Linked DNA regions of Bombyx mori. Each later gene encodes a partner of the first gene's protein in a complex. Links are inferred from orthologs where the notes say so. Each region holds a gene or a part of one and is shown in the gene's direction. Other genes may lie near its edges.

What was found. Proteins that work in one complex are often made in the same cells at the same time.
Region 2: the proteins of translation initiation factor eIF-2B subunit epsilon (region 1) and eIF2B-gamma protein are in contact, whole or in part, in a cryo-EM structure (PDB 7VLK), measured with the Homo sapiens proteins. The link is inferred for Bombyx mori from reciprocal best matches to the Homo sapiens genes EIF2B5 and EIF2B3. Residues at the interface, in NP_003898.2 of Homo sapiens: Pro190, Val202, Arg222, Arg223, Phe224, Ala225, Phe226, Pro227, Leu228, Phe231, Gln232, Ser234, Ser235, Asp236, Gly237, Val238, Glu239, Val240, Arg241, Tyr242, Asp243; in NP_065098.1 of Homo sapiens: Arg155, Phe157, Glu178, Glu179, Leu180, Val181, Ile182, Lys183, Gly184, Leu187, Gln188, Pro191, Arg192, Ile193, Arg194, Phe195, His196, Thr197, Gly198.

What each region holds. Positions count from the first base shown.
Region 1 is NC_085119.1:8,981,062-8,985,042, reverse strand, and holds the start of translation initiation factor eIF-2B subunit epsilon, read left to right. Parts: upstream 1-1,181; 5' UTR 1,182-1,329; intron 1,330-2,034; 5' UTR 2,035-2,299; intron 2,300-3,011; exon of another isoform or gene 3,012-3,088; 5' UTR 3,089-3,104; coding exon 3,105-3,203; intron 3,204-3,273; coding exon 3,274-3,398; intron 3,399-3,981. UniProt on the Homo sapiens protein: Acts as a component of the translation initiation factor 2B (eIF2B) complex, which catalyzes the exchange of GDP for GTP on eukaryotic initiation factor 2 (eIF2) gamma subunit.
Region 2 is NC_085128.1:7,848,552-7,852,808, forward strand, and holds the start of eIF2B-gamma protein, read left to right. Parts: upstream 1-1,457; 5' UTR 1,458-1,604; exon of another isoform or gene 1,605-1,675; 5' UTR 1,676-1,681; coding exon 1,682-1,841; intron 1,842-2,313; coding exon of another isoform or gene 2,314-2,340; coding exon 2,341-3,167; intron 3,168-3,900; coding exon 3,901-4,130; intron 4,131-4,257. UniProt on the Homo sapiens protein: Acts as a component of the translation initiation factor 2B (eIF2B) complex, which catalyzes the exchange of GDP for GTP on the eukaryotic initiation factor 2 (eIF2) complex gamma subunit.

The sequences.
Region 1 (3,981 bases):
CAGCAGTGATAAAAGCTGTGAAGGCGCGAATTCAAAGAAATCCCAAACGTAAGCAGAAACTGGTGGCCCTTCAGATGGGGTTAAGCAGAACCACGGTGAAAAGGGTGTTAAATGAAGACTTAGGGCTTCGGGCATATCGAAGAAAAACAGGACATCGTTTGAATGCTCGTCTAATGGACCTGAGACTGAAGAGATGCCGCGCTTTGTTGAAGCGGTACGCGGGAAAAAAATATTTGGGAAATTCGTTTTCGGATGTAAAAATTTTTAGCGTAGAAGAGAGCTACAACAAACAAAATGATAAGGTATACGCACACAGTAGTGAAGAAGCGAGCAACCGTATTCCGCGTGTCCAGCGAGGTCATTTTCCATCCTCGCTCATGGTATGGTTGGGAGTTTCTTATTGGAGCTTAACAGAGGTACATTTTTGTGAGAAAGGTGTAAAAACGAATGCAGTTGTGTATCAAAATACAGTCCTGACGAACCTTGTGGAACCTGTTTCTCATACCATGTTCAATAACAGGCACTGGGTATTCCAACAAGATTCGGCGCCAGCTCATAGAGCGAAGAGCACACAAGACTGGCTGGCGGCGCGTGAAATCGACTTCATCCGGCACGAAGACTGGCCCTCCTCCAGTCCAGATTTGAATCCGTTAGATTACAAGATATGGCAACACTTGGAGGAAAAGGCGTGCTCAAAGCCTCATCCCAATTTGGAGGCACTCACAAGACATCCTTGATTAAGGTAGCCGCCGATATTGACATGGACCTCGTTCGTGCTGCGATAGACGACTGGCCGCGCAGATTGAAGGCCTGTATTCAAAATCACGGAGGTCATTTTGAATAAACTTTAGTGTCATAAGAATCTATGTTTTGTTAAGTTCATTTTGGTATATGAATGGTTACATAATGAATAAACTTGTTTCAATTATTTTACATTAAACATGTGACAGAATTTATGACCTGACTAGGTATAGTAGTATATTTTGATTTGCAATTTTTTTTTATCAATGTAACATGTAGTCTTATGTTTTTCGAGTTATTAAAGTGTAAATTTTAAAATTATAAATTGTATATAATAATAAAATAAAAAAATCGAATTCGAGTTTTTTCGATTTTTTGCATTGTCTGAGAAGATTTACTATAGTAAGATAGATTTTTTTCACCTTCGGAAAGTATGTAGCGATTTCGAACTTTTTGAAAATAGCTGATATTTTGACGGGTGAATTTTCGATTGAAAATTAGGGTGCTTTTTCGACATTAATTCAAAATAAGGTGAAAAGATTCATATTTGTAATGAAATAAATTACAGCGTATTTGGGACATGAAAAGGTAAGTTTTCACCAAATTTCGTGAAAAAAGATTTTTTTTTTAAAAAGATAAAAATAAAAAACCAAAAACTTGGTTTTTTGAATTTTTCACATAAATTTTGAGGATATGTGAAAAAAGTGTAAATACAAAAGTTTTAGATCTTTTTATTACCTACAACTTTGTGACTTTTTTCCATAAGACTTTTAGTTTTGCCGGAAATCGAGAAAAACCGTTTTTTATCCTACACGCTAGGGTAACGCTGATATAGCCTATCAGCATAGGTAGGAACAAAAAACTGTTTGCGTGTATCGACGCAAGTGTCTCCATTTCCTAACTGTATGGATTGTAAAACTGTGATACCTAGAAGGTAGTCTTGGAAGGTTGGCTATGTGAATTACTATAAGAATAGAAAAATATATTATGTGACGGTAGCAATCATGGATCACAAGATATTTGACAGATGCCTGAATCTCGCTAACGATGATGTCAAGATAACTTTGTAATTTAAACAAGCTCCAAACAACATAAACCAACATTAAAATAACCCTCGACCCTATACCGAGCAATTACACCCGTCACATTCTAAGAAAATAAGGGAGTTTGAGATATCGATAGTAGAATATTAGCTATGTCTCCGATACAGATCGGAGAGATAACTTTAATTATTAAGTGAATTAGTTATGAGGAAAACACAGTTTTAATAAAATTATTTAATTCTGTTCTCAGCGTAATAGTTCCCCGTGGCGAGTTGTAATTCTATACTGTCTGTACGATTGGACTGAATACACAGAACTAAAGGTCCTACAGAATGATTTTGGGGAACAAGTTCACAAGCGGGAACGATATTGCCCTAGCTTATTAATCATAATGCCTTTTCAATGCTACAAATTCTATTATAGCTAATGAATAAAGTAGATAGCGAACTTTTGTGAGCAGCATTTATGAAAATGCTCATTCTTGGGCTCAATGTAAAAAAGTTCAAAAATAAAGTGTCAGTAAGCTTTCGTTTTACACGGATACTATTTAATTCATCTCATATCACATTGATTCGTTTCCGATTAAATTCATTTTCTAGTACTTTCTAGATTACATGCATATATTGTTTAGTAAATGGAGATTTGTTTAAGCTGGAATAGCCATTTAAATTATCAGCGAATAGGTATGGAAAAAAAAGATATGTTTACAAGCTATAAATAATTTTAAAGAAAGCCGTGCATTCCAAGACAAATCCAATATCATATGTTCCAAAGTTAATCATCCATCCAAAATTTTTCATATCCATACGTACGCATTTTACGTATGCAATACGTACTTTATTACTCAGTAAGTACCTAATTATTATAATTGCCTATTAAAAATAATAAAATGATTTGTTTTATTATGTCTATATAATATTTCTTCAGGTTTAAATGTGTAATAACGTTGGTTTATTGACTGTTTAATATCTATGAAAGTGTACAAATGTGCAAAAATGAAACAAAGCCGCTGGACTTAACTTCTCGGGATCCTTCAAACAGTCCACTGAAAAAATCTCAGTAAATTACCACCATTTTACTGAGATTAATTCATCCCATATCATTTCATTTAATTTCATCCTAGTTGATTAATGTCTCAAATTAATCATTTTCTTTTCATTTCATAATATCATATTTCATAAAAAAAATATAATATAATAGATAAGGCTGTATGGTATGATACATTTGCCTTTCTATTTGAAAAAATAAAACTACTATTACTAACTTTCTATGTAGCAATAACCTATTTTCTATTTTCTAAAAAGTAGGAACTAGGAATTGATGAAAATGGAAATGGATAAAGAAAATATCGTACAAGCTGTTGTTATTATGGACACTTTTAACAGTAATTTTTCTCCATTAACAGACAATAAACCAATGGTATGTAACCTGTTTGAAATTTGTATATTTATCTGAAACCAAAATAATAACTGAATGGGACATATTACAGGGTTTTCTTGAAGTTGCAGGCGTGCCTCTAATAGATTATGTTCTAGAATCTCTTGCTTTGGGCGGAGTGGGAGAGGCAATTCTGTTTTGTTGTCAAAATGGACAAAAAATAAAAGAACATGTACAGTAAGTTTTTTTTAATAGTACTAGATAATTAAAAGAACTCATAATGTCAATGATGCCGCCCGTATTGAGTTATGAGGACGAAGTTCCAGTTATGTACAATTTAATCTCGTCACATAAAGATAGAAGCGAGAGTTTTGTGTACCATTATCCCATTTGGGCTTACAGTATGCTTTAACACAGGCAAATTTATACATCTTTGGTGGTTTCATTTTTTTACAAGATGTTATTCTGTCATTGTCGTAGTTATTCGTAAACATGTGTTTAGACATATTTCTATAGTAACATTGGTACTTGTCTGTCTGATTTGAACATTGGCAAAGTGAATCTTTTGGTAAGAGTACACAGGGTGTTTCATCCTGTGTATGACTACATTTTTGCTTAAAAATTAAGCATCATTATTACATACATTGACTGTCAATCCATTTTATGTAGTGTATATTCAATCTGGCAGTGGTGTTCCTGTATTATATGTAATAACATATATACTACATATTATGTTATATGTTACATATAATTCAGGATTGCAGATATGAAGCTAATATCTGAAGTGTTTTAAAAAAAAAGGGCTTGCTGAATGTGGAGT
Region 2 (4,257 bases), on another chromosome or scaffold:
AGGATTCAAGCGTTATTCCTATTCCGGCCCCCGGCTTGGCAGCGACGGATCCATGCGAAAAACATCACACATCTATGTCTAGTCTATAAGATGGTTCACTCGTAAAAGTCAAGCGCCGCCCAACATGACTCTTCATGACAATTCACCCGTCGCGAATATTTATCCAGCTTCCGAGGACAAACCGTAACGCCTTGACCACAAGCCGGCCGGTCACCTGGACCATGATTTCACTACATACCCTCGTGTTAAAAGATTAAATTTAAATCAAGACTTCTGAAATTAAGACTTATTTAACAATGCCTAAACTGGCAGATCTTTACGAAACAGATGCTTGGAAAAGCTTTTTCTTTTTGAAAAAATTATAGGATATTATAGCTATGTTAAAGATACAATAAAGACATTTATTCCATAATCTACAGTAAATTCATAGCAAATGCTATAATCATAATAACGAACGCTTTTTGGCGTGAGCATGAGGTGGTTTGGAATTGTACTGGTATTGTGTGTCTAACCCAGTGTTTTTCCGATGTAAAAATATTGTTCTAATCGTTGAGTATATAAAAATGAACAGGTGGATAAAAATAATCGTAGGATATGGTTTCTCAACCTTTCCCGAAATGTATTGTACATTAAGGGCGATAAATTCCCATTACCTTACAGAATTTTCGAAATTAAAAACAAACTGAGCGATTTTTTAAGGGCTTTTATGACCTGGTAACTGACTTTTAGGTCAAGTCCTATTTTAATTTATATTCTTATATTTTTATGAAAAATGATATTATTGAGTGAAATGAAATGAAATGAAGATGATTAATTTGAGACATTAATCAACTGGGATGAAATTAAATGAAATGGGATGAGATGATATGGGATGAAATATAATCTCAGTAAAATGGTACTCATTTACTGCGATTTTTTCAGTAGATTTTTGGAGGATCCCGAGAAGTTACGTCCAGCAGCTTGATCACATTTTCTTTAGTTGTTCTGCTTTCTCACTGGATAGATTAGTGTTTATTTACCGTCTGCTGTGTATATATGAAAATGCTGAGGATATCCCGCGTACTTTTCAGCTATTAATAAGAAAACAACAAAGTTTTAAGCCAATTTGTGAATTTATAGATTCAACAGTTGGAGATATCTAAAAATGGGATTACAAGGATTTGACGAAGTTATAGCTCTGTCCATAACATTATGATATTTTGTTTACTTTTTTTATTTTATTTTAGCTAAGTTTAAAAAAAGTCTTGGACTTGGATTTAACAGTAAAACTCGAATTTGCCATTTTACAAGGATTGGAAAATATATAAGACTTGGCTTCGGCCTTAATGAAAATTTTATTTCAGGATATAATATATCATATAAGACCTGGCTTCGACTTTTTTGAAAATTTATTTCAGAAATTATATATTATAGACAAGCAGTATAGGCGTAGATCCCCTTGCTTTTCCTAATAAGGAAAAATTGTACCAAAAAAAATAATCTATGGTATAACCTAAATGTGTTTCTAAATTAAGACAAAATTCAATTTTATTAAACAGAAAATCAGAATTTAGGGTTGTTTGCTTGAATGGGACAATGTATTAATGAACGCTTAAAAAGACCATGTAAATATCCCTAAAAACAGACGTCTATTTACAGTTTGTTTGCTTTTCAAAAACATCATCTTTACTTGCAGTAGAAAATGCATAAAATCTTAGAATTCCAAGTTGTCGTGTTGGCCGCTGGAAAAGGTTCCCGTATGCCAGATGTCGGAGGATCAGTTTCGAAATGTCTCCTACCTGTTGGGCCGTACCCAGTACTATGGTATCCATTAAATATGCTAGAAAAAATTGGATTTCAAGGTACCTAACTCAAATTTCATTGCAAAATTTTCTATTGTAAATAATTTAAATTTTTTGTTTCAAACAGTATAGTACTATAAATAATAAAATTCTATAATATACATTATTAGATTATCTAAAATAAAAAGTTTATTCACTGTATGAAAAAGCCATTTTTTGTAAACGGAAGATCACAAAGATGATCTAATGAGGTTTTTTTTTATTGTCACTGTAGTTCTTTATACACACTTCTTCCGAGAGTATGATGGCGTGATGACAATCTTAGTTGCTTGTGGATATTAACAATACAAGCACAGCCAAGATCTTCCTACAAAGATGAGCAGAAACTGATATCTTATAGTGCATAGATATTTATTATATATAGATACTTTATTTCAACAAACCTAGTATAAACTCAACCTAAATATTTTCTCATTAGTAAACAAACTGCAACATCCCTCATTTACAATTTTATTTTTCTCTAATTCTTTAAAACTAACTAATAATCTAATATTTTCAGATGTAATGATTGTGGTACTTGATGAAGATAAGTCTAACATTCTTAATGCACTAGAAAAATGTCCCTTGAAAATAAAATATGAGTTAATTGTAATTCCATCAGAAGAAGACTGGGGTACAGCAAATTCCTTAAAGCATGTTAGTGCTAGAATCAATACAGATTTACTAGTCATATCAGGAGACCTCATTACTAACATAAACCTCAATGATGTACTGAACCTACACAGGAAACATGATGCATGTGTCACCACCTTGTTCTTCAATAATGGTCCTGAAGAGTGGATTGAATTACCGGGACCGAAAACTAAATCCAAACCTGATCGAGACTTAGTTTGTATAGATAAAGAGACTGAGAGACTTGTTTTTCTGGCAAGTGCTAGTGATTTTGAAGAGAATGTGACAATACCAAGATTACTTGTGAAAAAATATGATGCTTTGAGCATATATAGTAGATTATTGGATGCACATGTATATGTAATGAAACACTGGATTTTAGACTATATTGTAGATTCCGAAAAATTTACCTCGATTAAAGGTGAGGTTGTTCCTTACATTGTTAAAAAGCAATTAACGAAACCTAACAACTTAGTGGAAAAGAAGGGCACCTCGGAAAAGAATGCAGAAATTAATAAAGGAATTTTTGACTATGCAATAGAGACAGGTTATGAGCGTAAGATAAGAGAAATATCAGCATACAATGATCATAAGCATGGTAACAAAGGGGTGTACTTTAATGATACTCTTAGATGTTATGCACATATTCCTAGTAAAAATACATTTGCAATTCGTGTTAATACACTATCATCATTTTATCTATCCAACAATAAGGTATGTTTTTATTTGCTCTTTAATATTACAAAACAAATAATCTCCAAATAAGTTAGAACAAAACTTGTTTAATATTGGATTACTTATAAAGATTCAATGGGGTTGCACCATTAATTTAGGAATTTGTATTTGACATTTAAATAACTCATATTGTTGTAGTTTTTTGAACGGCAGATTTTTTTTAGCAATTTCCAATTGGTCCAATCCATCAAGAAACTTCAAAAAATAATGTCAATTAACAAAAAGTGTGTGTGTCCGCTCCGACGCACGACTGGAGTTTACTGGATATAAAAAATTAAACGAAACAATACGAGAAATAGTTCTATATTACGACAACACGATACACTACAGATTATTAACAAATTAACGAGACACAAAACAAACGACTAACAAATATATGAAAATACAATAATGAGAGAAACGCGCGATCAGTACGAGGCTTTGTGGCGGACTGCCGGCGCAGGCGCATAACGCATTTCGTGTGACATGCTAGTACGATTTTGGTCCCCATAATTTTCATACCCATTTTCATATATATGTAAATCGATTCTAAAGGAGTAAACTCCAAAAAACCTTATTTTTTCATTTACATAAAAAAAAGAAGTTAACACTTGCATACATGTAGTTTACAGTTTTATATAGATTGTTATTAGGTAGGCCACCAGATATTATTTTTTTCCCCAAATAACTCACGAAATCATAAATAAAGTGATTTTAATGGCATTTTTAACAGATATTATCAAAATGGCAAGATCTTACTGGATCATCTCTGTTTGAAAGATTTCACCCTAACAGTGAGGTGAAAACAAAACAGATTGATGATAATTGCACTGTTGGAGAGAAAACTATTATTAATGAAAAAACATCAGTAAAAAATTCATTTATTGGCTCAAATTGTAATATAGAAAACAAAGTCAGACTAACAAATTGTATACTCATGAACAATGTGACCATCAAAGAAAGGTATGTATATATGATAGAACTAAATAAAAATAATCACAGATATGTATTTATATATTCAAATATAACTAAAAGATTGTTATTAAAACAACTTTTTACTTGACATAAAATGTTTAAAATAAGATAAGTA